4 linked regions of the Alligator mississippiensis genome follow. The protein of the gene in region 1 interacts with the protein of each later gene in a pairwise test. Links are inferred from orthologs where the notes say so. Each region holds a gene or a part of one and is shown in the gene's direction. Other genes may lie near its edges. The genes, in order: ERLIN1, AGR3, SEC22A and FA2H.

Region 1 (7,398 bases):
ACACCACTGCCAGGTCTGGATTCAACTCACGGGGAGCTCCACGGTCTGGATCCAGGCTGGGGGCCCTGATGACACGGGTACCGGCATAAGCAGTGCTTTTATCATTGAGATCCAGGGAATAGCAAATAGCTAGCATTTTATCCTTTATAAATGGCATTGTCTCTGTGACAGAATAGTTGCATTTCATGACAGTTGATATTAGAGGCCTGGGAGAGATCCAGTAGCTCCAGTATGGTTATGTGCTGGCACCCAAAGATAAGCTATCACCAGTGAACTATGAGCAACAGCCTTTTTGAGAGATCCATGCTGTTGGTGGTACAGGAAACAATACCTACTTTGAAGATGAGGTTGGGTGTCAAGTGTTGGTCTGTGAGTTTGTTGCATAATATGATAGACAAGGTTCTTTGGGTAAATGTGATATCTTTTATTAGACCAACTAAATAGTTGGAAAAATTGTTCTTTGCAAGCTTTTGGGCACCAACACCCTTCAGGCATAGGGAGAGTCTGCTGGTGTTGTGTGTTCTCCTGGATGGAATAGAAGCCAGCATGCAAAATGCAGGTGTGTGAACATGTGAATGTGTGGCACTGCGGATCAGGGGCCATGGGAGATGAAAAGTGTGAGACAGGCAAGTTGGGGTAGGGGAAGGGGAAATGTTGACCTGGTGATAGAACATAGCTGGTAAAACATAGAGGTTACCTGGGGTTATCAGATGTCAGGCAGGTTATAATGTGCCATAAATCCTATGTCTATATTTAGTCCATGATATTTTGTAAATTCCATTTGAGAGATCGGAGAGAGTGGTTGTCTTGTAAGAAGTGTGCACCCACAGGTAATCGGGTTTTTTTTGTCTTTGATAGATTTTTGATGTGCGTTCATTCTGGTATGTGGTTTGGTAAGCAGTTGTTGTTTGGTTCCTCATATATATTTTCCATCAGGACATTTGGTGCACTGGATGAGATGTATTGCATTTCTGGAAGTGCAGGTGTCAGATCCAGGAATGGTGATGGTTTTGTTGTGGGTTATATTAATTGTGGGGGTGGTAGAGATGTGTTAGCAGGTTTTACATTTCTTGTCATGGCATGGTCTGGATCCATTCGGTGTGTTATGGGCTGTAGGAAGTTTGCTTCTGGTGATGAGGTTGGTGAGGTTCGGTGCTTGTTTAAAGGCTAGGATGGGTGGTTCTGGGAAGATCTCTTTAAGAACTGACTTTTCCTCTCCTAGGGGTTCTGAGTGCTCTCTGAGTCCTGCAAGCCACCACTAGTGCGGTGCTTGGGGCTCATTGGGGAGCTGACCCACCTGCTCTCTCCCTCTCGGCTACTCTTCCCCTTTGGGAACCCTAGGAGACTTTGAACTCCTAGGGCCTAAACAGTCATCTTTATCAGCTGTGCTCAGTCCTTCCAGGCAGGCTTATAAGCACCCTGCCTTCCTGCAGCTGGCCATAGCTCCCCCCCACCCCCAGGTGTTCAGTTTGCTACAGTGTTTGTCACCAGGCACTGCACAGAAGAGGATTGGTGTCCTGCTCAATTAAACTTACTTGAGAAATATTATGAGGTTTTTAACGTAAAGGGTTTTTTTCAGGCTGGAAAGTGATCATAATCCATTTAGTGTGCTTTTTGCCTAGCATAAGGTATCTAACACACCAGCTTAACCATTGGATGTACTTTAGAAGGATAATTTTGGTTAATCTTCTCCTAGAAACAGACTCCAGAACAACCCTTGGTAACCTGTTTAAATGTTCAAATGATTGATTATCCTCCTAGTTAAGAATGTGCCTTATTTCCAGTTTTACTGACTTTTTTTTTTTTAAATCTTTCAGCGTTTGATTCTTGTTCTGCTTTTGTGTGCTAGGGTAAATAGCTATCTGCTATCAGATACCATCTCTCTTTGTAAATGACCATGTAATCTTCTCTTTGGTGAGATAAATAGATTGAGCTCCTTAAGAAGCAGGTTTTCTCAAATTGTTCTTATAGGTATGGACCCGTGAGAAACCTGTTGTGGGGACAGAAGGACTTTACAGTGCCTCAGCTTCTCTGTGAAAACTGTAGGCATGTCCTTACCTTGTAATGAATGGATGCTAAATTGCTGTAGGGATAAGATGCTCCAGTTCAGCTTTTCTTACAAGGAGGGCAGGGCAGACTCACAGGCAGCTACTGTGAAGCAGCTCTTTAGAGCCCTGGCCCCTTTACCTATGTATCTGTTCCTTGTGACTCTTCTCAACCCTCCTTCTAGAAATTTGTGCACCAGAACTGAACAGAGTATTCCAGGAATGATCTTGCCAGTGCTGCCTGTACAAGCTTTAACACCTATTTATTCCTGCTTCCAGTTTTCTTGTTCATATAGCCAGTGACTGTGTTCACCTGCTTAGCCTCCACTCTGTACTGTCAGCTCACGTTCAGTTAGTGTGACCACTATCGCCACCCCAGAGTGCCTGCTTTGCAGTCCCTCATGCTGTCCATGTGACCTACGTTCCCTGTTGTTAGATATGATTTTATTATTATATTTTCTAGTGCGTGACATAGTTTTAGATTTCCTTTTGAGTGGGAAATATGCCATGTTTTATACACCAAAGCTATATAAGAAAACAGATTGCTAGAATAACTAACAAAAGCTGACCAATATGCAGTCAAATTTATGTTAAACACCTTTCTGCTACAATTTTATCCTTTTTGGGGGCAGACTTCTTATGCACAGGTGCATTTTATACGTTGGGAAATAGTCCAGTATAAACGCACCTTTTTCTTTTAGGCAAAGTTCTTTGAGTAGATGTTTTTACTTCTATTAGACCAACTGAACAGTTGGAAAAAAGTTCTTGGCAAGCTTTTGAGCACAGTCACCCTTCTTCAGGCATAGGAAGTCTGTGCTGTTCTGAGACTCCAAGGAAAGGTTTTCTTGTTGTTGTTTTTTGTTTGTTTGTTTGTTTTTTATTATTCACTATTTTTTTTATTCACTATTTGTCATCTAGACAGTATCTTCTGTTGCCCAGTTCATCAGCAGTGATTTCTTCCTTCTGTTTATTCATTCCTTTCATCAGTGGTATAATGTTAGGAGAAGAATTGATCTCTATGGAACTTGAGCAGCAATGCATACCACCTCAGTATTTTTGCTGACTGGCATTCTTGCATAGTGGCCTCTGACTTCTTTTTCCATCCAGGAGAACACAGAACATTGCAGACCTCCTCAGCCTGAAGAAGGGTGTTTATACCCAAAAGCTTGCAAAGAAGAATTTTTCCAACTGTTTTAGTTGGTCTAATAAAAGGTATCGGATTTACCCAAAGAACCTTTTCTGCCTATATCCCTAGACCAACATGGCTACAGCCTATACCTACTCATTAAGTATTTCTTTTTGAGATACGTCAGTTAATCAGCTTTAAATCCATATAATGCTGCCATTGATTTTTATCTAGCACTAATTTTTTAAAATCAGAATTATCAGCAATACTAAGATGTCTTCAGAAATCAGTGCATTATGTTCACAGTTACTTTTATCAGTCAGACTTGTAAAATCACTAATGAGCTCTATATCAAGTTAAACTTAACAAGACTGGCATTGATCATATTTCCCTCCTTGTATTCTTTATTGCTAATCCCTGTTCAGCCATTCCAGGGCTTTGTCCATGGTTGAAGTCAAGATACCTTGGTTGTAATTCCCATTTTATCCCAATTTACCCGGAATAATTGACATGCAGTAGCTTTCTCACTGGCCTCTGAATCTTCTGCTGTATTCCAAGATTATTAAATGCCATTGTCAATGTTCTGTTACTGTAATGAGAGTGAGAGTGGCAGAAAAAGGAGGACAGGCAGGAGAGCGCTGAGTTGGCACTGGCTGGGTTGTTGCTGTGCATACCGCTGGTGTTACGTGGGTGACCAGCCGGTGTGTGGGTTCATAGGTGGGTTGATTTTTAAAAATAAAAATCACAGTTTTTGTAATGAGCTTAGGAAATCAAGACCAAACCTTGCAGAAAAGAAAGGTATGTGATTGGTGCCAGTTGCCTTTTTAAGATGGGTTAATTTCAGGTTGTCAAGGTAAATGGGAAGGAGCTCTTGGATAAGAACAGGGAATTAATCTTTCCTGATCATAAGTGGCAGTGTGAGCTGTGCAACAGCATGGACTGCCCTGCCTTTGAAATAGGAGTGCCATCATAATGGGACATGAAGGTGGGAGGCTGTGGTCCCCCTCTGTTTTCTGCTCAGAGATGAGAACAGCAGTTTCTCTATTGTTTGTCCTCAGCCCCATGCCGAAGAGAAAAAATAAAATAGATGTTTTGGCTGGATGGAGGGAGAAGCATCCCCAAAAACTTTCATTCCTCCTCTTGCCTATCATCAATGAATTGAGCAGAGAGGAAGCAGCAACAGATTAGCCCTCTTGCCCTTTGGAACTGTGTTTCCTCTGCTGGATGGGAAGGAAGTCTCCCAGTCAGTTTGTGACGGCAGCATGCCAGCTGCTCCTGAGTTGTAGATGTGGTAAGATACGACTTAGAGGATCTTTAGATAAGTCTTGCTAAAGAGGTTTGTGCTTTCCACTAGGGATTATTTTACAACTCGCTGTAAAGCAACAGTTCTCAAACTGGGCTAGACTCAGGTTGCTGGCTCCTTTTCTTTTGTTTTCCAACAAATCGCTTTAAATTAAGCTTAAAATATGTGTGCCACTCCTAATATTGTACTGTTGTACTATGTGAGCAGTGCTGTATCTGGAACAAGGTTGCCATATGTCTGTGAGTAGGCAGGATGATGGGCTGTGTGATCAAGAATGGGGAGACAATCTGTTTGTTTGGGTTGGGTCTAAACTATGAGAAGGTTTGGGAGCCTGTGCTCTTGAAAAGAATCCATAGGCAAGAAAAGATGGGGTATCCTGGTCATCAGGTGACCATAAAATTGATGAATGTGTATGGCAATGGCCCTCCGAGTGTTACAGTGACTGTGTTTTGTTCCCACAGATGATGTGAAAATGACCATGGCCCAGGCTGGAGCAGTAGTTGCAACTGCAACAGGAGTTCTGCTTTTTCTCCTCTGCGCCTCCATTCACAAAGTCGAGGAGGGTCACCTGGCTGTGTATTACAGGTACTGTTCCTAGTAAGCATGTCCAAGCCTCTTGCCAGTAAACAATGTTTTTCTGGGTTTAACCAGAAAATGCAGTACACTTCCTCAAAGGAAAGCTTTGGGTAGGTGATTGTCCAGGTCCATGTTCCATGTCTGGGCCCTGTTTCAGGATATTACCAATACATAAATGATAAAATTGGCCTAAAATCATAAGCTTTTTCTTTAAAAAAAAAAATTCTTGATTTCCACTGTCTCTTTTTTTTTTTTTTTTCTTTTTTGTATGACCTTTCCTACCCTAGCATGCAAAACAAGTGTAGGATTAAAGTACAACTTTAATTGTCTGTAGAGTATGCACACAAACATGGCCTTTGAACTCCTGCGTACTTACTCTGGAGTTCCTCACCAACAGTGTGTCCTGCAGTCTTGAGCACCTGGCCCTAAACCTCCCTTGCCCCCTTCCCACCCAAACTATTAGAAATACCTTTTTCCTAGTAGATCTGTGGATTATTCTTCTTATTTTCAGCTGCTAAGTGCCTGAAAATAAACACACTTTACTGTTCCATTTTTCCACATAAGCAGTTGCTCTGGTTACCATGGAGAAGTTATACAAATGTGGTTGAGGGAGTATTCTCCTGCCAGCAATCTCCAGAAGGTGTGTTTGTCTCCATGAAAATAATTTGGAGCCTCTGATCTAGTCAGCATTTAATGTAGTAAATCATAATAGTCTAACTGTTAAAGTCCCTTCCAGGCCAGCATGCAGAAGTGCAATTCCTACCACTGTGAAGTTTGCCACAGTGTTCACCCTGCAGGCTTGGATTCTCACCTGAATGAGAACAGAAGTCATATCTATGAACTGCATCTGCACCAGAGAAACAGAAAATGCAGTATCTGGGTTCTGCTGCCCTGGGAATCTTCCATTTACATTAAATAAATTATAGCAGTGATAATTGTTAAATGATCTGGGGTATTTTTCAGGTCACTCAGCACAGTGGTACATTCACCATTACTTCAGAGTTTTAAAGTCAGACTGGCTTACTTTAATTAACAAATAAATAATTAAATACAGAATTAAATAACTACAAGAAAAGTGTCTTGTTCTACTGCACATCTTTTACATGTCATGGTGTTCTCTTGTTCTCAAAAAGTCTGTGGCAAAGGTCTGCCCAAGTTGAACAACCAGGGCGTGCTAGTTTCTTTAGCCAGGGATGTATAATGGAGAGATGCAACTAGCATCCTGTCTAGCCATGTTTGACTGCCATCCTGAATGAGCAGGTATCCACTTTCAGGTGTGTCAGCTAAGGACAGCCTTTGGCATGAGTTTAGAGCAGGGATGGTATTTGCACCTTTGCACTTTAACTGCTCCACCATCACACCCTGACTCCCCTGTGTAGTAGGACTTAACTCCCTTAATTTTCTTGCGTACAGAATCCACCAAGGCAAATCAGCTGGCTTGCACTATGCAGGAGGTCAGACCAGAGTAGGTAACAGAGTAGGTAACTGTTTCTTCTGTCCTTAACATCTATGAAAGACCATCTTGGTCTTGATTCAGCTTTATCGCATGCTTTGCACAATGGACAAAATGCAGTTGCGTTGGAAAGGTTTATCAGACTGTTATTTTGCAGACCTCTAAAATGGGGAGGGTTACATCTGACTGCTGCCTAATGGCATGTGAAACTTATTGCAGGACTTACATCTGAGGGATTCTGCTGCAGGTTCTTGAAGTTTTCTGTGTTACAAACTTTCTCAGATGTTCTTAATTTTACTTAAATTAAACAATCATCTTGTCAAATTAGATGCATTGAAGCTTATTGAAGTTTCTTCCTTTGAAATGAGAACCATTTTTTCCAGTGGGGAATAAAACCTTTTTGCTGACTGCCCAACTCTCCCAGCTTTTAAAACTGGCTGTTCTACAAAGAAGCTTCTTTTAGTTCTAATAGTATAAGATGCCATCACCAGCTTCTGTGACCCTGAAGATTGCAATTCTCCGCTCTACTTCTGTTGTGTCAGCCCTTGCACACCTTCATCTTGTGTTATACTGGAGTCAATGTCAGTCTCTCACTTAGTTAACTTTATCTGTGGCCTGAATGTTTTGGTGCATACATTTTCTCATCTGAAAGAAGCTGCTATTCTTCAGTGTGTTCTAGGACCTTGTTCCTGGCTATGGGCAAGAGACTAACCATTAGATTTGCACAGAAGAGGCACTTAGGCAGACATTTGAAGGAGGGTTGGTATTTGAAAGTAATGCACACATCTATCACCAGCTGGATGCATCTTTTAGTAAGCAAGATCTGCTCCACCAAGGGCTAGTTTCCTGTGAAGACCTGGCACAGCTTGCTCTGTATGCCCAGGTGTTGGAGCAT
Region 2 (7,041 bases), on another chromosome or scaffold:
GATTTCTGATATAGCCAATTTTCTTTATATCGGTGCCGATCCAATATCAGACTGATGCATCAGAGCACCTCTACTACTTACCACCTGTAATTAATTTATTCCTATGCCTTTTGTTTTCAGAGCAGTGTATCTACAGCACGTGTATAATTACAGACAATGTATAGTTAGCTGTTTGTTTTACATCAAAATAAATAATCTGGGGAAAGGAGGGAAGAGGGGTGCAAAATGCCTCCCCTTCCTTATTACACTAAATGTAACCATCCAGCTCTTGTAGTTAAAAGGCCAAGTTTAAACACAGCATAGAAGAAGTGCATTTTTAGTGCAAGTACTGGTATTGGGCACACAATGGCTACTGCACTTAAACTGCTCTGTGATCCAACTGTCAGCCAGGTCAGCTGACAAGCTGTGGCAGAAGTCTGCCTCTGCTTCTGTGAGTCCCATTTTCCAGGTCAACCTGACCTCAAGGCTATATACATGCAAAAGTAGACAGGTTAGACAGCTTCAGTCAAGTCTTTCTAACGAACAGTGAATGGATTTAGAAACATGAGGTGTCTACCATGATTCTATACAATGTTTAAGTCAATTTCTCCCATTATGAAGTCCCTTCCCTAGGACAGCAGTGTCTTTTTAGCACATTGCCTTATGCATGACTGTACCTTTTAACATTTCCATGAAAAAATGGATTTGGTACAGATGGCCAAAATTGGCCTTGTCGGTGTCCTTCTTGCAGCCTATGGGGAATGGGGAGAACTTTGTCTCAGAAGCAGGAAGAAAACTGGTCATGTTTCCTATGGCTCCCCTTGTCCTCAGGCTTTGGTGGGTGCTCTCCTATCCAGGCAGTATTAGCAGATGGTTTCAAAGTTGGTAGGGTCAGAAGGGACCTGAGCAGATCATCAAGTCCAACCCCCTGCCGTGGCAGGAAAGAGTACTGGGGTCAAATTACCCCCACCAGGTGTTCATCCAGCCTCCTTTTAAAGACCCCCAGGGTCGGAGCCAGCACCACTTCTCTTGGAAGTTGGTTCCAGATCCTAGCTACCCTCACAGTGAAGTAGCGCCTCCTGATATCTAGCCTGAATCTACCCTCTGCCAGCTTGTGACCGTTATTTCTTGTCACTCCTCGTAGTGCTTGGGGGAACAGGGACTCTCCCAATGCCTGCTGGTCCCCCCTAACTAGTTTGTAAACAGCCACCAAGTCCCCCCTCTGCCTTCTCTTGCAGAGGCTGAACAGGTTCAGGTCCCTTAGCCTCTCCTCGTAGGGCCTGCCCTGCTGACCCCTAATCATGTGGGTGGCCCTCCTCTGAACCCTCTCCATGTTGTCCATGTCCCTCCTGAAGTGCAGTGCCCAGAACTGGACTCAGTACTCCAACTGCAGCCTGACCAGTGTTGCATTGTACTGAATGGTACTAGCAGAAGCTAGTTCCAAACTGGGGTATAATGCAGAAGGGACATCCCCTTTATGGGAGCTGGGAGTAGGGACAATATTTGTGCTTTGCTCTTACCGATCATGATGTCTCTCACTGCTGGTCATCAGGGATTCATGTTTTCTATTTCCCACAGGAAAAAATGTGGATTTTCTCTTTTAAGGCTAATTACAGATAGTCAAAAAGTCCAAGGCTGAATCAAATCAGCCTTTTCAGGTTAGTCTAAGCTGCAAAGATTAAACTGAGAAACAACTGGTGCACATTTACTTCTTATTCAGGAAATACAACAACATGTCTGAAGTGGCTCCAGTCAGAAGCTAGGGAGAGCTAGAGCATGCCTGTAGCCAGTATAGATGGTGGGTTTGCTTCCTCTTTCTGCTGCCCCCTAGGTCTCTGGGATTTGCAGTCCAGAATCACATCAGCAGGACTCTCCAGGGTTGCCAATCACTTCTTCTTCTTGTTTCCAGGTACCTCTGGGATTTGTTGTCCAGTCACAGCCAGCAGTAAGTTTCAGTAAGCTTATCAGCAGGGTAGTTCTGTACCCTCCCTGGCCCTGGTTTGCCTGAGGAGGAGGGCAGTCCCTGCTTCCTTACCCCTTCCCCTGCCCCCCAAAAACCCTTCTCTGGTAGAGCAGAAAGTATAGTCCAGCACAGGGCTGGAAAGTGTGCTGGGATGCTGTGGGACTGATTTAACTTGAACCAAGAATGGGTCTGGGACAGAAGTTTCATAAACCAGTTTGACCCATAGTTAAGTATGATACTACATTCAATTAGGTTTATCTTATACCAGTTTCAGCTATTTTTAAATTGGTTTATGTGAAGTGAGCTTCTGTTCTGTTACTAATTTAAACCAGTTTATGATCACTTAAACCGGTTTATGTGCAACTTCTGTCCCTAGCCTAAAAAGCTGCTCAGTGCCACAGAGTGGGGGGAGGGATAGCTGCAGCCGGACCTGTGTCCTGGTGATGAAAGGGGGGGAAGGGAAGCTCTCATTTTCCATAACAAAAACCCCCAAAATCAAATGCCCAAATAGATAGGTATTTAGAATTTATTTTATTGTAAGGATGGAGCCACTGGTAGGCTTCCAAGTTACTTCAAAACTGTAAATATATAAAGTACTGTGTTCATCTGATACCTCATATATATCCCCTCAGCAGGTCAGATAGCTGGTAGGAGAAGCAGAGAGGTTCAAGGTTCAAGTGACTGCAACTTGGCAGGTATCGAGGGCAGGGAGTAATTCCACAGGTGAGTCTGGTTTTCTAATAAGTTAGTTCTGGTAATGGGCTTAAAAGAAGGCTCCCACAGAAACTAAGAAAAGTGAGTTGACATTTCTCTCTGAGAAGAATAATCATAGAAAACAAGTACAAAGTGAGAATTGTCCTCCACCCTGCCCAGCAAACCATAATGGAAGGAACACCTCTCATATTTTGAAACCATTTAACACCAAAACATCCTCCAACTAAATGATCCCATTCATGTATCTGTTGAGAAACCTGAGAGAGTACAGTGGAGAGAGAACCCTCTTTCATCTGTATCCCACAATCTTTATAGGAGAAAATGATATCTAATTCATTCTCATAAGAGGAGATGGGGAACCAGCACTGGGCTGCAACAAATGGGAAGAAGGAAAAAAAACAGCAACTCTTCACATAAGTAGGAATAATCAAAGGAAAAATCATGGTCTCCACTGTACAATTCATTATTGCATCATGATCCCAGATGAGTTAATAAAAGTTGTGGCCTAATTAATTCATATACCTTGCATCTTGTTCTTTTCTTTGCATGGCTCTGGTAAGTCCCTTCAGGATCTTTTGAGAGCATAGAGTTTTCATGATGTGTTATAGCTTGAGGCTTAAAAAAAAAAAGAAAGGATTTGTACAAGTGCAAGTTCCATTTCCAGGTCTACCAAGAATGTTTGTGCCTTTGGGCAAGTTGTGTACCTTCCCTAGGCACCTGTTTCTTAATCTTAAAAAAGAAGATAGCTGTACTTACTTCACAGAGGTACTGAGATTCTGAATTCATTAATTTTTAAATAATGCTTCAAGACCATAGATCATATACTGCTTTTGAAATGAAAATATTATTATAAATGAACAGTGTTCCCAATTTCAGTTGTGCCTGCACATGAAACTGGACCAAATCCTTGGGAAGAAGATAAGAAAAAGCCAAAGGTGAGGAAGCTTGGCTAGTATTTCCATACTCTTGACTAATGCATCCTTCTGTAGGGTATATGAAAATAGTTTGTACTTATTAGGAGTACACAAGAAATAGGTATGACTGGACACATCTACACATGCCCAGTTACTGCGGTTACTGCACAGTAACCAAAAGTTACTGTGAAGTATGAGTACATGTCTACATGTGCACACCTGTACTGCACAGTAACTGCGGTGACTTATGCCAAGTTGGGTATAAATTTGCTACCTGTAGCAAATTTATGCCCACTTAATTACTGCACAGTAAGGCATGTGTAGATGCTTTACTACACAGTAACACTGTGTGTGCTCCGACTTGGGAGTAAACTTTACTCCCAGGTCAAAGCACACACAGCATTACTGCACAGTACATGCAGATGCTGGTCTAAAAGCCACTTATTGTGCAGTAACTTACTGCAAAGTTACTGTGCAGTAAATGCACATATAGACACACCCACTGCGTAGGCTTGTCAGGAAGGGGAACAGAAGATATCTGGATGGATGCCCAGTGAGTTAAGAGGCCTTGCATTTAACCCATCTTCAATTTTAACATCCCACCTGCCTATACAACACAATGCAAAGAACCAGCAAGGTAGGTATCATGTTTCAGGCATTTGCTGCAACACTTGATGTGTGAAAACATGGGAGGTAAGAAAAACTGAGTCTTTGTATGATTTTGTGTTTACAATTCCTACATCAAGGATAACTGGCTGAACATTGATGGCTGCTTTTGTGGTAGTGGTTATTTACACTAACAGGTAAATAAGCACAAAAAAGTAAATGGTTGATTTCAATTTTCTAACCAACACAACTTTTCTCTGTGGTCCATCTACCAAGGGATGGAAAATATTTTACATTTAAATTCAAGCAAATTTGAAATGCACAGGTTTACTCACTTCATTATAAATATTAAAGCTGCCTTTTGCACTGAAAATATGATGAACATTTTCACAATGTTTCAGTGAAAAATAGTCTTTGCACTGAAATAGTAAATACAGAGAATGAGTACTGGACGAGGCCAACTAACAAAGCAAACGTTTTATTGTTATCAGATTTTATTTTTCAGTTGAGCTTGATTGCATGGGGAAATCATCATGTGATAGCTGTAATCTCTTAATGAGTTTTGGTATCTATAGGCTACAAACAGCAGTGAGCCAAGCAGCAAAGTTAAGAGCTGGATGCAAAACTTCAAATGACGGAAAAGAGAAGGAAAAAAATCAGTTTAAATGAATGCATTAAAGATCTCAACAGAATAAAATAACTCCTTACAGAGAAAGAAGCCAGTGGTAAGGACTGCTTCTGATGCATCTTGTTGTCTATGCAAAAGCTGTAACAAAGGACAAGAATGACCAAAGCAATGTGTTTTGTGTTCAAGGACAGTGAAGTACTTTTCATGTGTTGCCAAACTGGATTAGAATTATGAGCATGTAAAGATACAGGAACTTTTTAGATATTTCAATTTAAAGAAACAGTCAGCAGGTATTTTACACAATGTTCTTTAAAACAGTGCCTTATTTTCCTAAATTAAAAAAAAAATGTTGCTTTCATTCGTTAATTACATTCCTGCACACAAAGTAACTCTTGTATCTTTCTATTAGCTTTATACCTAATCTCCAAGCACCAGTGAACTCAGACATTCATCAGGAACAATAGCACACACAGTTCCAACTTTCATTGGTGGTTTCTTTTTTCACTGGGACATAAGCCAAACTCAAACTATTTGGGGGGAAAAGTAACAGACACACACAAACCACTATTTACTTTGAGGCCTAATACAAAGACACCTGATACAAGCCAAGATGGAGAGAAATCTGAGTATTCAGTGTACAAGCCTAAGAACCCACAAGAGTAAAATGTTGGAGGGGGGAAAGAAGGGGAAGAAATAAAAACCATGAGCTTGGTCTCTGACTAACTGGTTCCTGTCATTTTTGCAGGTGAATGTTCTCTTGTTAATACACACACAACTGGGCAGGTCAGGTATTCTTGTATAAATCACACCCACTTTTAACTAGACACTTCCAGAAGGAGGAACTTTCATCAAGAGAACTGATCTACTAAAAGGTGAGCAAAAGTTTTTAGTGTTTAAAAAGTTTGCTAACAAAGTACTTTGAGTGTAGTGATGGGGAAGGAGAGAGGAGAAAAAAAAAAAGTGTCTGGAGAATAACTGAAAAAATGACTCTAAGGGAGTGTCATGTGGAGAGGTAGCTAATTTCAACAGTATTTGCCATCATGCACTGTTTAACCCAGCTTATTGGTACTGGTTGTCATAATATCCAAAATTCCCAAAACTGTATACACTTAAACTGCATCCAGCAATAACACTGCCAGTGATCTCTCCCCACAAAAAAACCTTCATAGGTTTTCTTTATGATGATAAAGGTTAAGTGCAAGGGGAATATTTCTATAGTCCTTGAAATAAAAAAATTCTGAAACTGGAAAGAATCTTACTGATTTTGAAAAGTTCCTCATTTATCTTGGAGGAAATTGGAAATGTGTACATTTCAGAAGTCAAATTTAAGAATGTTTCCCAAAGTCATAGACATTAATGTTTCTACAGGTGCTCATAAAAGGTCAAACAAATGTAAGTGGTAGGTTTAATTCCAGAGCCTTATAGAGAATTTGAGGTGGATTTCCCATTCCCAAAAATGTTTCAGCCTCTGAATTAAAGCAGTGTTTCTAGTCCCTCTTTATGAAATGGAAGGCCTCACATTACTCCACACACAACATCAGTGCATTTTGGTAAATTAAGGAGCACCACTAATGAGTATCAAAAGGGGTTCTTGTCCAGACCTAGGTTGAGGCAAAAACAGCTTTTGCATCCAACTCTGAGGAGGAGGTATGTTAAACAAAGGGGATACCCAAGCCCCTTCAAAAAAAATAAAGGACCAGGTGTGGAGGGAAGGGGGAAAATACTCTGGTGGCTTAATTGATTATTTTAGAGGCCAGGGAAATGTCTTTAGTTACACGATATCTCTAGGAGAGAGAATATCTTTCAAGGAATGCTGCTTAGTTTTAAGGACTAATCATTCTTATCTTCACTTGGAATAATATCTGTTTCCTGTATTGATATTGTAAGGTATATATAATAACCTTTGATGAAAATTATCTGGCAGAACTGGAGTTGGCTGCAGTAATATTTGTGGTGCCGGAGACGGCTTATGGACAGCTGTTGTAAAAGCCCTAAAAGTACTCATAATTGATGATCTGGAAGGGTGATAAGTTATTCCTCTACTGGTGTTCAGTCATGGCCTGCTGTGACAAAATTCCAAGACCGCTGTAGCCACTATGTTCCTATTTGGGGGTGTCGCAGGGCACCTCGGTGCTCCTGCTCCTAGAGAGGAGAAACTGCCAGGGAGAGAGCCCTGGCAGGACACTAATGAGCACAGCTGCGGGTTGCCGGGGCAACTAAGGAGAGTCAGCTGGCCA
Region 3 (7,249 bases), on another chromosome or scaffold:
ACTTCTTACCACAAATTTTGATTAGAAAGTACTCAAAATTAATCTGTAGATGAGATTTTATGTGCGACACTTCACCCATTTAAGCTTTTGCCTAGCTTTACAGAATGTGGCCGAGATGGCAAGGATATCTCCTGCAAGGGTGGGCTTCTGCTCATCTGAGGACACTAGCCTTTCCAGCACTTCCTGGACCAAAATGACCAGGGCTTGTCCACTGAAGGGCCAGTTCATGGAAATCATAGAGAAGTGAGGCTGGAAGGACCTTCCAGAGGTCATCTAGTCCAACCCCCTGAAGGCAGAGGTGACGGGGCCAGGTACAAATAGGGGGCAAGTTACTTGACCTCCCCACAGCCTGTGCCCTGTCACAGTGGGGGGAATGAATTAAAGATAACCCTCAAAAAATTGGATTCTGTACATGGGAAATTATAGCAAATATATAAATTTTTCCATGCGTAGAATCTAATGGAGGGGGGGATCATCTGAGATTTGAGTAAATATGGTATTTCCCCATATTTGCATGCATCTACAACCACAGTGGTTTCTTTTAAGGAAATGGCATTATTAGGCAGCACTCTGGCACTATTTTTGAAAGGCTGAGAAAATAAAAGTCTTCATTTGGATGGTTTAATAGGGAACATTTCACTAATGATATAAAAGAGGCCATGTGTCTAAACATAGTTTTGTTCTCTTGTCACTTCACAATGCATGGAAGACAGCTGGTAGGTTTTAGGAAGGCTTATCTTTTGAAAAAGGAACTAATTTGCCTTGATATGAATAAGGGTTCAGAATCCTGTTTATCTAGGATTTATGTGAATATTTTATTTATATATAAAATAAATATGTAAAATAGATAGACAACTTAGATCTATAAGAGGGATTTTATCCACGCTAAATTCTGCTGCCTATGTGTATTATTGATATTGGCTATTTGAATTCTTTACTTTTAATCCTTAGAGTAAAAACAAATATTGACAGAAAATTAGATTCAGGGTTGAATATGCTGGCAGTAGGAATGTTTTGGAAAGGGAAATACAGAATTATTCAATACTACTTTCTTGATTTTTTTTTTTTAATTATTATTTATTATTAATCCCTTTAGCCCAGAGAAGGTTAGAGATCAGTCATATTGCATTTATTAAATAAATGGTAGAAATCAGAGAGAGACCCATTTACAGCTGATCATTTATCAATCTCTTTGCCAATAAAGGTCTGTATTTTGTAGTATTATTTCACCTGATTATAAATGACTAAAGTGATTTCATTTTGGAAACTTGCATAATGTAATAGAATCTTTTTTTTTTTAAATGTTCTTTTGCTCAGTTTATCTTTTTACTTGTATATCCGTGACTCACCGTGTAATAATTGTCTTGCTTGCTGTTTAATTCTTGGAGTTTATGGGAATGGATAAATGTGCACTTTTAATTTTGATACCCACTTATTACTTCTTAAATTGCTCCATTTGTTTTTGCCTTCTCACACAGCATAACGTGAACTTCAACTCTGAAGAACGTTTTAATGGTGAAGAAAACAATATTTTACTTAAGAACTGGTGTTAGGATTCTGAGTTTCTCTGCAGCAATGGATAGCACTGATGTACCCACATATTCCTAAAGTGGAACATGAAGCTGGGTTCCTTTCATCCCATTAAGTGCTAATGAAGTTGTTCAGTACCGCCGAGGCAATGCAGATTCATGAATTTGGGTTTTGGGCAGGTAAGTGGAGGAGAAAAGAATTGTAGTCTATCTTGTTCTGATGCATTTTTGTTGTTATCAGTTATTACATTGTGTTGAAGTAGTGCCCAATAGTCCCGGTTAGGATTGAAGCAACTCTATTCCCATAAGCTCTACTCAATTCTCTGTTCATATTTGCAGATTTGTAGTAATGTTTAAGTCTACACCCGAGGCAAGGATTTCTTTCTGTGATATTTTGTTGGACTAGTTGCATAGCTGGAAGAGTTAAGCAAGATTTTCAGTTCAAGGCATTCTTCAGACCTGACGAAAAATGCCTTGCTTTCAAAAGCTTGTCTAATGCTATCCCAACTGTGAAGCTGGTCTAACAAAAGATATCACTAAAAGAAATCCTTACTCATCACATAATTCCTGCACTATCACAGGTACAACATCACTCAAGTCGGTGTGGGTCCAGCCCATGGAGGGACTTTATTCGGCCTGTGGAGGGTCCCTTGCTCCTAGCTAGCCCAGGCGCCATCTGGCCCATGGGCCATCCTGCCTCCTAGGTGTGCAGTGGGGCTGGGGTGGTTCCACGGCTGGACTCCAGTTCTAAGCAGCTCATGTGGCAGCAGCTTCTAGCTGCTGATGGCCCTAGCCCCAGCCCAGCCCCATGGGGACTGCTGGGGACCTGGGTTCAACCGTTGGCTTGCCCCATGTCCTCTCTGGAATCATCCTAATGGGAGTGGACCAGCTCCGGATCAGCTGGGACCTGCACACAGCCCTGACCCTGGGCTGCCTTGCATCTGCTGTGTCTGCCACCACTGCTCATAATGGATAGACCAGTCTGGAGAGGACACGGGACAGGCCAGGGTCGATGTTATGCATGTGGGTTCTTGTTGCTCCATAGCCGGTCTGCTCCAGCCAGGGCAAGTCTGGACCAGATGCAGGGCAGGCCAGGAATGGAGCTGTGCACTCAGCTGCTGCTGTGTGCTGTTGGCAGGGAGAAGCTGTAGGGCACACAAGCTCTGAGCTGTTGCAGAGGAGATAGGGGGTGGTGCTGCTGACTGGCCTGTAACAGCTCCCCAAAACTGCCTATGTGGCCCGCAGGCCCAAATAATTGCCCGTTGCTATGGTAAGTCTACACCAGACATTTCAGAGGACTTTTTTTCATACTTTTTTTTCTATTTTTATGTTTGATTCCAATCAGTTCATGGCACACATTTTACACAGCAAGGGATTCTACGGAGGTACTAACTTACAAAGTTAGTGGCAACAGCAGTGGCTTCTGCTGCTGCAACCTTGGTAGAAATCTGGTTTGACTGAATGAACAATAAAATTAGAATGGCACTGGGACAACTCCTGGGAAATAATCTGTAGTGATAGGGAACCTTTGTAGTTAACACGATGGATTCCCCAGTATAAAGGTTGAGTCGAGTATATAAGAAGGGACTGAAATATCACTACAGCAGGGGTGGGAACCTGTTCAGCTGTAGGCTGGAATAATCCACCCTAAGTCGGAGGGGACGGGTGCTAGGAATCCGTCTGTACCTGTAGCTTATCTCTGCATTGGCATCAGGAGAGGGCCTACAGCTGAAGTCCCATGTCCACGGGCTCTGTGGCCCCTAGGTTGCCAGTCCCTGAACTAAAGAAATACAATATCAAATTCCTTCCTTCTCTTCCAACACTAAAAATAGAAACAGATGTTCACTGTGGACACTATACCTGTCTTTGTGCTTATGAAGTGAATCACTTAGGATGAGTCTCGTTTAATAAAATTAACTTTGTACATAATCTTTTTTTTGTTGTTCAGTTTTGAGAACGTATGAGCAGGTGAGGGTCATTTTCAGAGTTGCTTTCGAATTAGAAATGCTCCATAAAGGTTGTAAAGAACTTCTAAAATCTTGGCCCAAAGGGTGTTAACTAGGGCAGGGTTGTCCAACTGCCGTGTGACCCTTGGGCTGTCCCCAGCCACTGCTCTTCCCATCACTCTGGCTGCAATAGCAGTTGAAGTCTCCAGGTTCCCCATCCCTCCTTCAGCTTCTGGCACTTCAGGGGATGGGATGACGTGCAGCATGAGGAGCTAAGGGTGAGTCTGGGGCTGTGCCTTGGGGTGTGGGGGCATTGTACCAGTGCACGTGACCATTGCAGCAGGAGGGGGGGGATCACAAGGTGTAATAGGAAGTGTAGGTCCCCAGGACACATGGCCCCTGGGTGCTTAGAAGTTGGACAGCTCTGACCTAGAGCCAGGACACGTACATTTGGAGCCATTTCAAAAGGGGAAACTGTTGCTACCCTCTTGAAACGGCTCCAAATGTACAAGTGGCCATTTCCTTATGTGCTGCTGTTATTTTACACTATGAATATGTATTTCAGATGTATTGAGAAATCGGTTTTCTTTTTCTGTCTTTGACCTGCTTAGGTTACATCAGCACAGTCTGGCAGAGGTAGACATTTCTTTGTTCTTGACGTTTTATCTGGTAATATGTATAGTATGTGTGGTGGGCAGTTTATATTGTGGTGTTTGGAATTACAGGAGGAAGGAAGCATGCTGCTTTTTCATTTATATTAAATTCTAGTAATTTTACCTCCTTTTCACAGAAGTTTCTACCTTGTTTCTAAGCAAACAAGTAGTTTTGCTTTTAGAGTACTACATGCTACTTGTCTTGCTACATTTTTAACAGCTTGAAGATTTAAAAAATATATCTTGTCATTTTTTATAAAGATTGCATGGGAGTGTGTTTTAAAATGTCTGCTGTGAATTTTCTCCTTTGGTGTCATGAATATTTTAATAAGCTTTTGTTTTATACATGCAGGCCAAGCACACTACAGCATATATAATTGCTAGAGAAAGTTGAGAGCAGTATTATATAGTTTGAAAAAGAATAATTTTTGAACAACAGAAGTCTCTCTATGCCTGAAGATGGGTACGTGTGCCTGGAAGCTTGCAAAGAACCTTGTTCCAACTACTCAGTTGGTCTAATAAAAGATACCACATCTCTCCAAAGAACCTTGCCCGCCTAATTTTTGTTCAGGCTTATTTTATTCATTGCTATCCTCATCTCTGAGATTAGATTTAGTATCTTTTTTTGTCCTTTATAACAGCTCATGTATGGTTTTCTTGTGTTTTTACAAACAGTTTATTGTAAACAACTCGGCAATTGTGTAAGCTAGATTAATATTGCTACTCATCTCACAGATACCAAAACCTAAGGCCCAGGTAGAGAGGAAAGGTCCTGTGTTTAAGATACTAACTACAACTTGAGACCCTGGGTTGTATTCTTGGCTGTGCACCAGTTTTCTATTTGATCTTCATTAGGTTAAGTGGCTCTCCATTTAGCAGAGGCTTTTTAGCCTTTGCCTGGCTTTAAAAATCTGTATTGAATTCAGTGGAACTCTGCATATGTTTAAAGTTAGGCACATATTGACATTTAACCTAGGCAGGGCCCAGATTTCAGGGCACATGTACGCTGCCTGCATGCCCAGCTGGGGAATGCCATGGTGAGGTTTACTGAGCCTCCTCTGGACCTACTGCCATTCAAAACGGAGGTAAGGCGGCTGCCCACCAGCAAGTCCTGAGAGGCAGCGTAACCATCCTCTCTGAAAAGTGGATAATAAAACTTCTTTTTGCTGCTGCCTCTGTTCATAGTGTAAGTTCTTCAGGGCAAGGACTTCTTGATTAGTGAGGCTGTATTATGTCCTTGCGTGGTTATGTCTAAAACCTTGATTTCACTTGGTACCTCTAAGTGCTACAGTAATACAAAACGATAAATAAAAGAATGGTCTGCAATTGCATTTGGAGCTTCTGCAAGCTGTTAAGATCGAAATAATATTATTAAGATAAGTCAGAAGTCTGATTGTGCATCCTGTGTGTGTCTTTGGAAATGGTTGGGCCTATGCAGTAGGATGTTTTATGTGAATTAGTGTTCAAGCTTCAGTCCTGTGCTGACTTGCCCAGTGCTGTGTGGTAAGGTTGAGCCAGATTTACAGCAGCCTGAAGCCACAGTTACTGCTTCTAATCATAGACTGATGTTTAATCTGGCTGCAGATCCTTTTTGGAAAAAATTGCTTTTATTTTAACCAGTGTGTTTATAAGTTTGAGTGTGTTTTTGTTCTTAGGTTTCTATTAAATCAGCTGGCGATGTCTATGATCTTATCTGCCTCCGTGGTCCGTGTGAGGGATGGACTCCCACTCTCTGCCTCTACAGATTGTGAACAGAGTGCAGGTGTGCAGGAATGTAGGAAATATTTTAAAGCGCTCTCAAGGAAACTTGCTCAGCTTCCCGACAGATGTACGCTGAAAACGGGGCAGTATAACATAAAGTAAGGTTCTTCTCTCATTATCCTTGCAATGCTTCCTAGTGGTATCTGCTGTAGCAAGTTAAGAATTACAGTATAGAGGTGATTAATCAATTTAAGAATACTGTCTTATCTCACATACACCCTGCTTCTCCAAAATAAGGCGCATACCTTGTTTTTTAAAGGCAGAACATACAAAAAGGATTTTTCCATACTCATGGCTAATTCTATGACATTAAGTAAGTTCTCTTGGGATTGTAGCATCCAGGAAATGTGGCACCAGGAAGTTTTTGGTGCCAGCTGCCTTACCCAGACTCTCTTCTGGGATGCCAGGCTTTCTAGTTGCTATGTTTCCAGCAGGACTTGCTCAGTGTCACACAAGGTTAGACTCCAGACCCTTGCAAGGGCAGTAGCAAGACTGTTAGTTCTTTACAGTAAGTAGTTCTTTATATAAGTTCCTGAAAATAAAGTGTTGTTTCCACATTACAAGCCCCCATCAAGATACTGCCACCAGCTCAGTTGCTGCTTCAGGCACCGGGTTCTGTGTTTTCTGTGTTCAGCCAGTGGCTGTGGCTCTGGGAGAGTTAACAAGGACTCTGCCATCTTGGCAGCTGCATGGCATGCTCCAGGCTTGCTGCTTTTCCAGTGAAGGAAGTATCTTCCCTGCTTAAAATACACACCCCAATGTGCAGATGGGTGGACGGGCATGAGCGCAGCAATAGCTGAATGGGAGTGCAGGGCCAGTGCTGGTGCCCCAGGGCCAGGGCCATCAGGGGCCCAAAGTAAGCCTGCAGGAGCGTGGGGCCTGGGCTGGTGGGGGCTCTATGGAACCAGGCTAGGCTGTGCCAGCAGGGAGAGGAGGGAGCCAGTCTGGCTCCACAGAGCCCCGGCTAGGCTGGATCCCACACTCCTACCACCCTGCTCTGGGCCCAACCAGCCCTGGCCCTGGGGCACCGGCGTGGGCCCTGCACTCCCACCCAGCTGTCACTGAGCTTGTTCCTGTCTGCCCACCTGCTCGCTCCCACCTGCCACCACCATTTCCCCAGTTTCCCTTCTGCTGTGGTGCTTCTTTCCATGTGGTTTCCGGCACCGGCAGGGGCTCTAGGCAATGAGTGAGAGTGTACATGATTGTGTTTGTAGGGCAAGTCCCACACATGCACCCCACCATACATATGTACCCACACCCGCTTCGCACTGCCATAAATGCACACCCCATACCCCCTCACACACCTCAGCTACTCTCCCTCCCCCTCCACACATGCCATAACCCTCCCTAGCCCTCCTCC
Region 4 (6,890 bases), on another chromosome or scaffold:
TGGGCTGCACAGTGTGCAGCATTTTCAAGAAGTGGGAAGAAGGATAGCGGAGGCAGGGAAGCAAAGAGAGAAGAAGCAACCAGGTACACTGTGATATCAAGGACAGGAAGGGAGAAGATGGAGATTGCCTCTTGTGTGACTCCAGCACTCTCCTCCTGCAAGTGAGTGAGTGGATTGCAGAGGAGCGAGGAGCCATGGCCTTAACAAGGGGTGGGACTGTACTGAGGAGCTGTGTGGAGATAGGAAGATACTGTTGTATGCTCAGTGCAGAGGAAATCTTCAGAGTATTTAGGTGCCAAATTCTGATGCCTACCAAGCACCTGAAAACTAGGATTTTGGGGGCACGTATACATGTTGTGTGGCTACTGTGCTGTGTGCACGGCACATGGGTAAATTTTGCTGCCATGTCATTGTAGTGACGCAGTATACCTGGGGAATGTGCTGCTATAGTGACATCGCTGGTGATCATGTGTAGACACATGTGAAATCACTTGAAAGAAGACATGTAGCATGGGAAATCTGAGATCTAATGGATAAAATTTGATAAAGTTTGAATAACTGATAATAGAATCCTGTAATGAAAAATCATGCGCTTGTTCTGTTCACAGCTTGTCTCTGGCTTACAAACTATTTCCTCACAGTTTGCTCCCATTCTGCTCTCTCCCCTAGGGTTTTAAACTCCCAGCAGGATACTCCCTCACTATCCAAATGCCCCAGAGCTGGAATTCCTCAACAGGGCTGATTGTTCCTTCCTAAAGGGCCAGACCACCCTGTTATACTGGTTAAGAGTGATGCAAATGAAACATTCAAGGCCAGATTCTACTTCAGCTATTATGGTAGTACAGAAGTGACATTTGTTTGCAGCCTTTAGAAGATTTATTCTTAGACACTGAGGTGACTGAATTGAGGGATGAGTTTCATCCAAAGAGTTCTCAAGACTGAAATTGCCAAGTCCCTCACAAACATATACAGTCTTTCATTAAATACAGCCAAGTGCTAATTGGAACATAGCAAATGTTTTTACCTGTCTTTTGAAAAAAACTGTAGAGATAACATGGGAATCATACACTGGTCATCCTTTTATCTTTTGCAAGATCGGGGTGGGGCAGCACACTTCATACAACATGGCTTAATTTCATACAATTCTATTAATTCCTTCAACCCTGCCTTCAGTTAACTTTAGACAGGCTGTAAACTAAGAATTAGATTTAAATTAAATTAAATTAATTTCATTATTTTAAAATGTAAATGGTTACATTTATTAAATTAACTATTTAATAATGTAAATAAGTGGACACACCTCTTTCAAGTGATAATCACTTGTCATTATCCAGGCTTGCCTGTAATAATACAGACCTACTTGGCAGGCTCAGGAATTCTTGTGCCACCCCTTTTGTAGGCATTCTCTGTGAAACCATCCAACTACCAGTTGTGCCTAAAAGCACCTGTGTGTTACTTACATGATTAACTATAGATGCATTAGCAGCACTTAGGGTGGAAACAAATGTCTCATTTGTGCCACCATAAAAATCTTTATAGCAGCACAAATTATGAGCAAATAGATGTCATTATCTTTTGTCACACCACATCAAAGGGAAAACAGTGGTGTAACAGAAAGTAGTAATAGGCCCTGCTGCTTGATTGCAGCAGACCTTTATTAGCTCTGTGGTGGAAGAGTAGGGGCAGCCTGAGCTGATCGCACTCTCCAGATCCCCTGGCCCCTCAAGTCCCCATAGTACCTGCCCACTTTCCCTGCTTACAGAAAGGCACCGCACTTACCCAGTCCTGTATCCTGCTCAGTCAGACTTGTTCCCCATGATTGAAGGAGATGGGTCTGGCTGAGTTAAAATAACAGGGCTTTTCCCCACACAGCCACACTTGCTCCTGTCATCACAAGGGATGAGGCTGACTGAGTGGGGAAAGGGAGCCTTTTCCCTGCTCAGCCAAAACTGCCTCTGGAGACCACATTGCCCTTGTCCTGCACCATCAAGGGCAGAGCAAGGGGTGATGTCCATTTCATCCAGTGAAGCAAATCAGCTGTGCCTCAACACATCATGGCACAGCTGATCCATTTCATTCAGCACTGTAGATTTCTAGTGGCTAGCCTTAGTGCCACTTATGTGCATACTAGGTCCTGTTTAGTCCAGCTGTGTGATTAGGCTTGTTCTTTTGAGCATGGTTACTTATACTCTTTGGTGATCCTTTATCTTTTTTCTGCGATTGCTCATTTTAGAGCTTAGCAGTTGTTTAGTTTTACCCACAATGTTTCTATGAGGCCATTTAGTGCACTAGATGAGGTGTACCACATGCTATGATAAACATGTAGGATTCATAGATTCTGATGGTTTCATTCCGGTGAGTGTTGATTGTGATGGCAGTGAAGATGTGCTGATAGGTTTTGCTTCTGTTCTTATGATAGTGGCATGTACTTCTTGGGGTTTGCTGGCCAGCAGGGAGTTTGTTTCTGATGACAAGCTGGAACAGGTGTGTAGCTTATTTGAAAGCCAGGAGCAGAGGTTTGGTAATATATCTCACCATGTCCAAACCTCTTCAAGTACAGGTTATCATTGTTTGAGGATCCTTGTTATTGGTTCCAGTGTAGGATGATATTACTCCCTTAATGACAATATTGCTATTGCTATTAGCAATAAAGTACCACAAACCAATCTGTCCTTCAGGATATCCTCTAGGATAGGGACAGCCAACCTGTGGTATGGGAGCCACAAGTGACACAGGCTGCCTGTGTGGCATGCACCATATCAGAGAGGGGACAGGCAGTTCAGTAGCAGGTAGGGCAGAGAGGAGAAAGGAGTTGCAGATTGGTCAGGGAGGACAGAACAAGGAGCAGAAAGCAGAATGGGGCAAAGGGAGAGGCGTGGCACCTGGGGAGGGTGTGGGACTAATTTGTGGCCTTTGCAAATGTGCAGATTCATATCCAATAAACATGAGTCAGTCACTTGAGCAGTCACGTACTAAGCTACTGTTTCACCTTCCCTCTGACAAAACTTTAAAGGCTGTGAGGGAAGGTGTGGCTTTGCGTTGTGTAGAGAGGTCTGCTGCCACCAGCTGCAGATCTCAGAATCACACAAATTAGGGCTGGAAGGGACCTCAGGAGGTTATCTAGTCCTGTGGGGTTGCAACAATATATGAAAAGGTCACAAAGAAACTTTAAAAATGGATTCTTCTTTGAAGGAGAAAATGGGAAACGGTTTTTCCCTTGCAAGCCAGCACAGTTCCAGGCTGGCAGGGGCTGCTTGCAGCCCCCTGTGCCTCCATACCCACCCTCTACCCCACATGCTGAGAAGGGCTGAGGCCTGTGGGTCACAAGTGAAGGGCACTGGGTTGGGACTGGTCATCGATGTTATGAATAGGTCATGGTACAAAAAAGTTTTGAGAACCACTGATCTAGTCCAACCCCTGCTCAAAGTGGGACTGTCAAAGCAGGGCCTTCTAAGTGTCGGTTTCTTGCTGGTCCATGAGAGGGGGGCCTGTGTTTGGATCCTGAGGAAAGCTGAGGCTGCCTGCCTTCAACTGTGGGCCCAGCTGAGGAAAACTGTCCTCGGGGTTTGCCCTGAAGCGAAGGGCACCCGCTGCCTTTGGAATGGGCCGTTTGGGGCTTCTCCTGCAGCAGGCGAGGCCTGAGCTAGACGCACTCCGGCTTCGGGGTCTGCGCTGCGTTGAGCTGAGGCGCCCCTGAGGGCCGGGTGGGCCTCTCGCCCCCTTCCCGCTCAGCAGCAGCAGCGTAGCCCCGTCCTGGGGCCGCTCCCGGCCGCCGCAGGCACCTGCAGCCGCGGCCCGGCCCGGCCCGCCCCGCCCCTCGCGCCGCCCGGGGCGTGGCGGGCGCAGCCGCCGGGGAGCAGGTGCCGGGCGGGGAGCGGCTCAGTCGGCACCGGGCAGCGCGGTGTCCTGCCCCGCCATGGCCCCGTCGCCGCGCACCTACAGCCGGGCCGAGCTGCGGCAGCGCTGCGCGCAGGGTTCGTGCTTGGTGCTGCGGGGCCGGCGGCTGTACGACGTGACGGGCTTCGTGCCCCTGCACCCGGGCGGGCAGCAACTGCTCCGGCAGCTGGCGGGCAGCGACGTGAGCGCGGCGCTGGACGGGCCCCCGCACCGGCACTCGGACAACGCGCGGCGCTGGCTGGAGCAGTACTACGTGGGCGAACTCCGAGCCGAGCCCGGCCCGCAGGTACCGCCCCGCGCCTCCTCCCTCCCTCCCTCCTCCCCACACCCCCCGGGCGGGCCGGGGGCTGCGGGGGGGCCGGGGCCGCTCCGAGCCCCCTCGGCGCCCCGCTGCTAAAGGTTTCCTTCCGCGCGGAGAGCGGGGGTGCGAGGGGCAGTTGAGGAGGGGGCTTAGTGCAGCCGGGGCGGGGAGAGCGTCTGCTTGCTTCACCCCGGCCCGGGGGCTCCGGAGAGCTGCAAGGGGCCGGCTCCTCCCGAGGCGGGAGGGGGGCACCACAGTAGATGCCCCAGCATAGAAAGTGATGCCAGAGCAAACAGCAGGCTCCTGTCGCTGCCTGGCACTGCCAACCTGCTCTATCAATACTGCCCTTTCAGAGCCCATGCAGAAGCGCCCTCCTCTCCGGAGTTCTCACTGCAAAGCCTTACATTGATGTCCTTGTGGATTGGGCAAGAAAAAGAAGTTGATCTAGCCTGAAAAGCCAGAATTTTCTTCCAGGGGGAGGTGGGAGCTGGTGAGACTTAGAGGTGGCAGAAGAATTCAGTGAAGCAGTTCTCAAGTAATGTGTCGTGCAGAAGAAATCATCCCACCCCACTTGTGTCCTGGATGCCTCTGGCACTGTGCAGCTGCTGTTACCTTGCTGGAAGTTTGGGGGGGTGGGATTTGAACAAAGCCCGAGTAGCAGCTTTGCAGTTTGCTGCAGGTGGTGTATGACACAAAGTGGTGTGGCAACCTGTGAGGGGGAAGTAGACTGCAGGCTTGTGTTGAGCCTGGGAGTGGAAAGTGCTCAAAGGGGATGGGCACATATGGCACTTGCTCTGCTTTCTATCATATCACTGCTTTGGGAACTAGTTCATGACTGTCCCTGGACAGAAGTCTCCACACACTGGCTGTTAAGGGTGGGAAGTACAACCCTCACCTTGGGCATTGCACTGATGCCAGAGTGGCACCAGGGGGTGGTGGCATCCCCAGACCATCCTGCCTTCCAGGGGCCAGTGCCTGGAGTCTCTCAGGAGGGAGGGAGGGAGGAAGACCCAGGCTGAGGCAGGGGGTTGGAGTGGAGGGGTTGCCAGGTGTTGGAGACCTGTTTAGCTCCCTCTGCTCATATTTCCCAGGGGTCTGGGTGCTTTGCCCCTCCCCTCCCCCCAGAACTCTGGCTTTTCTAGCCTCTTTCCTGGAGAGCCACCTTCTGAAGGGATTGCAGGAAAGTGGAACTGACATAAACTTTCTGCTTCCCCACCACTGTGATCTCTTTGGCCAGTAGAGTCCTGATTGCATCCCAGAGCAGCCCTGTTGCTCTCCACAGGTTTGGGGGATGAGGAGCGGTGCACTTTGGGATGCTTGGAAAACTGACCAGGACACTACGTGTGGAATGCTGTTTGCACGTAACACTGAACTGGTTCACCAAGGACTGGCTCAGAATAGTACTTGATTTTCCTGGGGTGCTTTTGAAATGTTCCAGGAAGTTTAAACTGATCTAAAGTGGCCTGTACATCCAGACTTGTGGGCTAAGTACAGACCATCAAAAAGCCTGAGGCTGAATTGATTTAATCTTTGCAGGTTAGTCTAAACTGTGTAGATTGAACGGATAAGCAAATGAACAGACATTCACTTTGATTCCACAAATCCAGCCACATGCCTGCAGTGGCCCAGGCCATAAGCCAGGGGGTGCTAGAACATACCTCCTTGCTTGGCTGGAGCAGACAGCTTGGGCCAAGGCTAGCCCGCCTGCCCACCCTGCAAGGGAGGGTGGGGGCTGAGGGGCAAAGCATCCTGGGATATGAGAGGACTGAGAGTTAACTTGAATCTGGAGGGGATCTGGGACAGAAGTTCAATACATTGATTTAACCTAAATCAGTTAAGTTTGATACTGCATCCATCCAGGTTTATCTTAACTCGTTTCAGCCATTTTGAAAGCAGTTTGTGTGTGCTGAGCTTCTGTTGTGTACTCAACCTCAAGGCAGCCTTCCATAACTTTTCTGAACTTTAAGACACCCCAGTTGAAAAGCACTGAGAGGGATCTACATTTAGAAAAGAACTGGAGGGGGCCTTGAGACTGAAAGTTGAAATCACTCATGTAGCTGGTGCCACTTAAGGGCAGCAGCGGCAGCCGATCACCCTGCTGAGCCCTGCTCTTTCCACTGTCTGTCCTGTCCCAGCCCCTGGTATGTACTTCAGGGGGCAAGGGCAGCCCCTGTTGCTGAGTCTCCTCTTCCAGGGTCTTGCATGGGAGGTGGCGGTGGCAGTGCCCCCCTCCCCGCCCCCCCCCATTCTTGACGAGAAATTCGCTAGTATTTCAGAAGTTATCATTTGAACAAATTATAAGTTAAAAATCAAACATATATTGTAACATATTTTAATTTTATTTAAAAATACATATATTTTGTCTGGATTTATGTTTTCATGAGTAGTGGACATAGACATGATTGCATAATAATTAAAATAAAGTCTTACTGTGGTATGTTGGGTATGTGTGGGAGGGTGCACATTTTTGGGGAGGCTGCTCATGCATTAGGTCCCAGGTGCCATTTGCAATGGTGGGGAAATTTTGTTTTTGGAGTATTTCTTTGTGGTGAAAGACAAATATGGTTCTTTACAATTTGTTCAAATGTCTACTGTTCCTTCTCTGTTGGTATTAGTGGTGTGTGAAGCGGGCCCTATTTGATTCAGATGTGACCTGAATCAGGGACAGAGATTCAATTCGTTGATTCGGATC

The links.
Region 2: the proteins of ERLIN1 (region 1) and AGR3 interact in binary tests that used the Homo sapiens proteins (3 or more experiments, as listed by UniProt). The two-hybrid records come from large-scale screens. The link is inferred for Alligator mississippiensis from reciprocal best matches to the Homo sapiens genes ERLIN1 and AGR3.
Region 3: the proteins of ERLIN1 (region 1) and SEC22A interact in binary tests that used the Homo sapiens proteins (3 or more experiments, as listed by UniProt). The two-hybrid records come from large-scale screens. The link is inferred for Alligator mississippiensis from reciprocal best matches to the Homo sapiens genes ERLIN1 and SEC22A.
Region 4: the proteins of ERLIN1 (region 1) and FA2H interact in binary tests that used the Homo sapiens proteins (3 or more experiments, as listed by UniProt). The two-hybrid records come from large-scale screens. The link is inferred for Alligator mississippiensis from reciprocal best matches to the Homo sapiens genes ERLIN1 and FA2H.

What each region holds. Positions count from the first base shown.
Region 1 is NC_081829.1:10,006,652-10,014,049, reverse strand, and holds the start of ERLIN1 (erlin-1), read left to right. Parts: upstream 1-4,380; 5' UTR 4,381-4,395; coding exon 4,396-4,462; intron 4,463-4,935; coding exon 4,936-5,059; intron 5,060-7,398. UniProt on the Homo sapiens protein: Component of the ERLIN1/ERLIN2 complex which mediates the endoplasmic reticulum-associated degradation (ERAD) of inositol 1,4,5-trisphosphate receptors (IP3Rs).
Region 2 is NC_081828.1:163,640,576-163,647,616, forward strand, and holds the start of AGR3 (anterior gradient protein 3), read left to right. Parts: upstream 1-4,040; 5' UTR 4,041-4,207; intron 4,208-4,751; 5' UTR 4,752-4,901; intron 4,902-5,549; 5' UTR 5,550-5,676; intron 5,677-7,041. UniProt on the Homo sapiens protein: Required for calcium-mediated regulation of ciliary beat frequency and mucociliary clearance in the airway. Might be involved in the regulation of intracellular calcium in tracheal epithelial cells.
Region 3 is NC_081827.1:246,128,434-246,135,682, reverse strand, and holds the start of SEC22A (vesicle-trafficking protein SEC22a), read left to right. Parts: upstream 1-4,249; 5' UTR 4,250-4,577; coding exon 4,578-4,591; intron 4,592-5,783; coding exon 5,784-5,987; intron 5,988-7,249. UniProt on the Homo sapiens protein: May be involved in vesicle transport between the ER and the Golgi complex.
Region 4 is NC_081833.1:40,865,668-40,872,557, reverse strand, and holds the start of FA2H (fatty acid 2-hydroxylase), read left to right. Parts: upstream 1-3,875; 5' UTR 3,876-3,916; coding exon 3,917-4,183; intron 4,184-6,890. UniProt on the Homo sapiens protein: Catalyzes the hydroxylation of free fatty acids at the C-2 position to produce 2-hydroxy fatty acids, which are building blocks of sphingolipids and glycosphingolipids common in neural tissue and epidermis.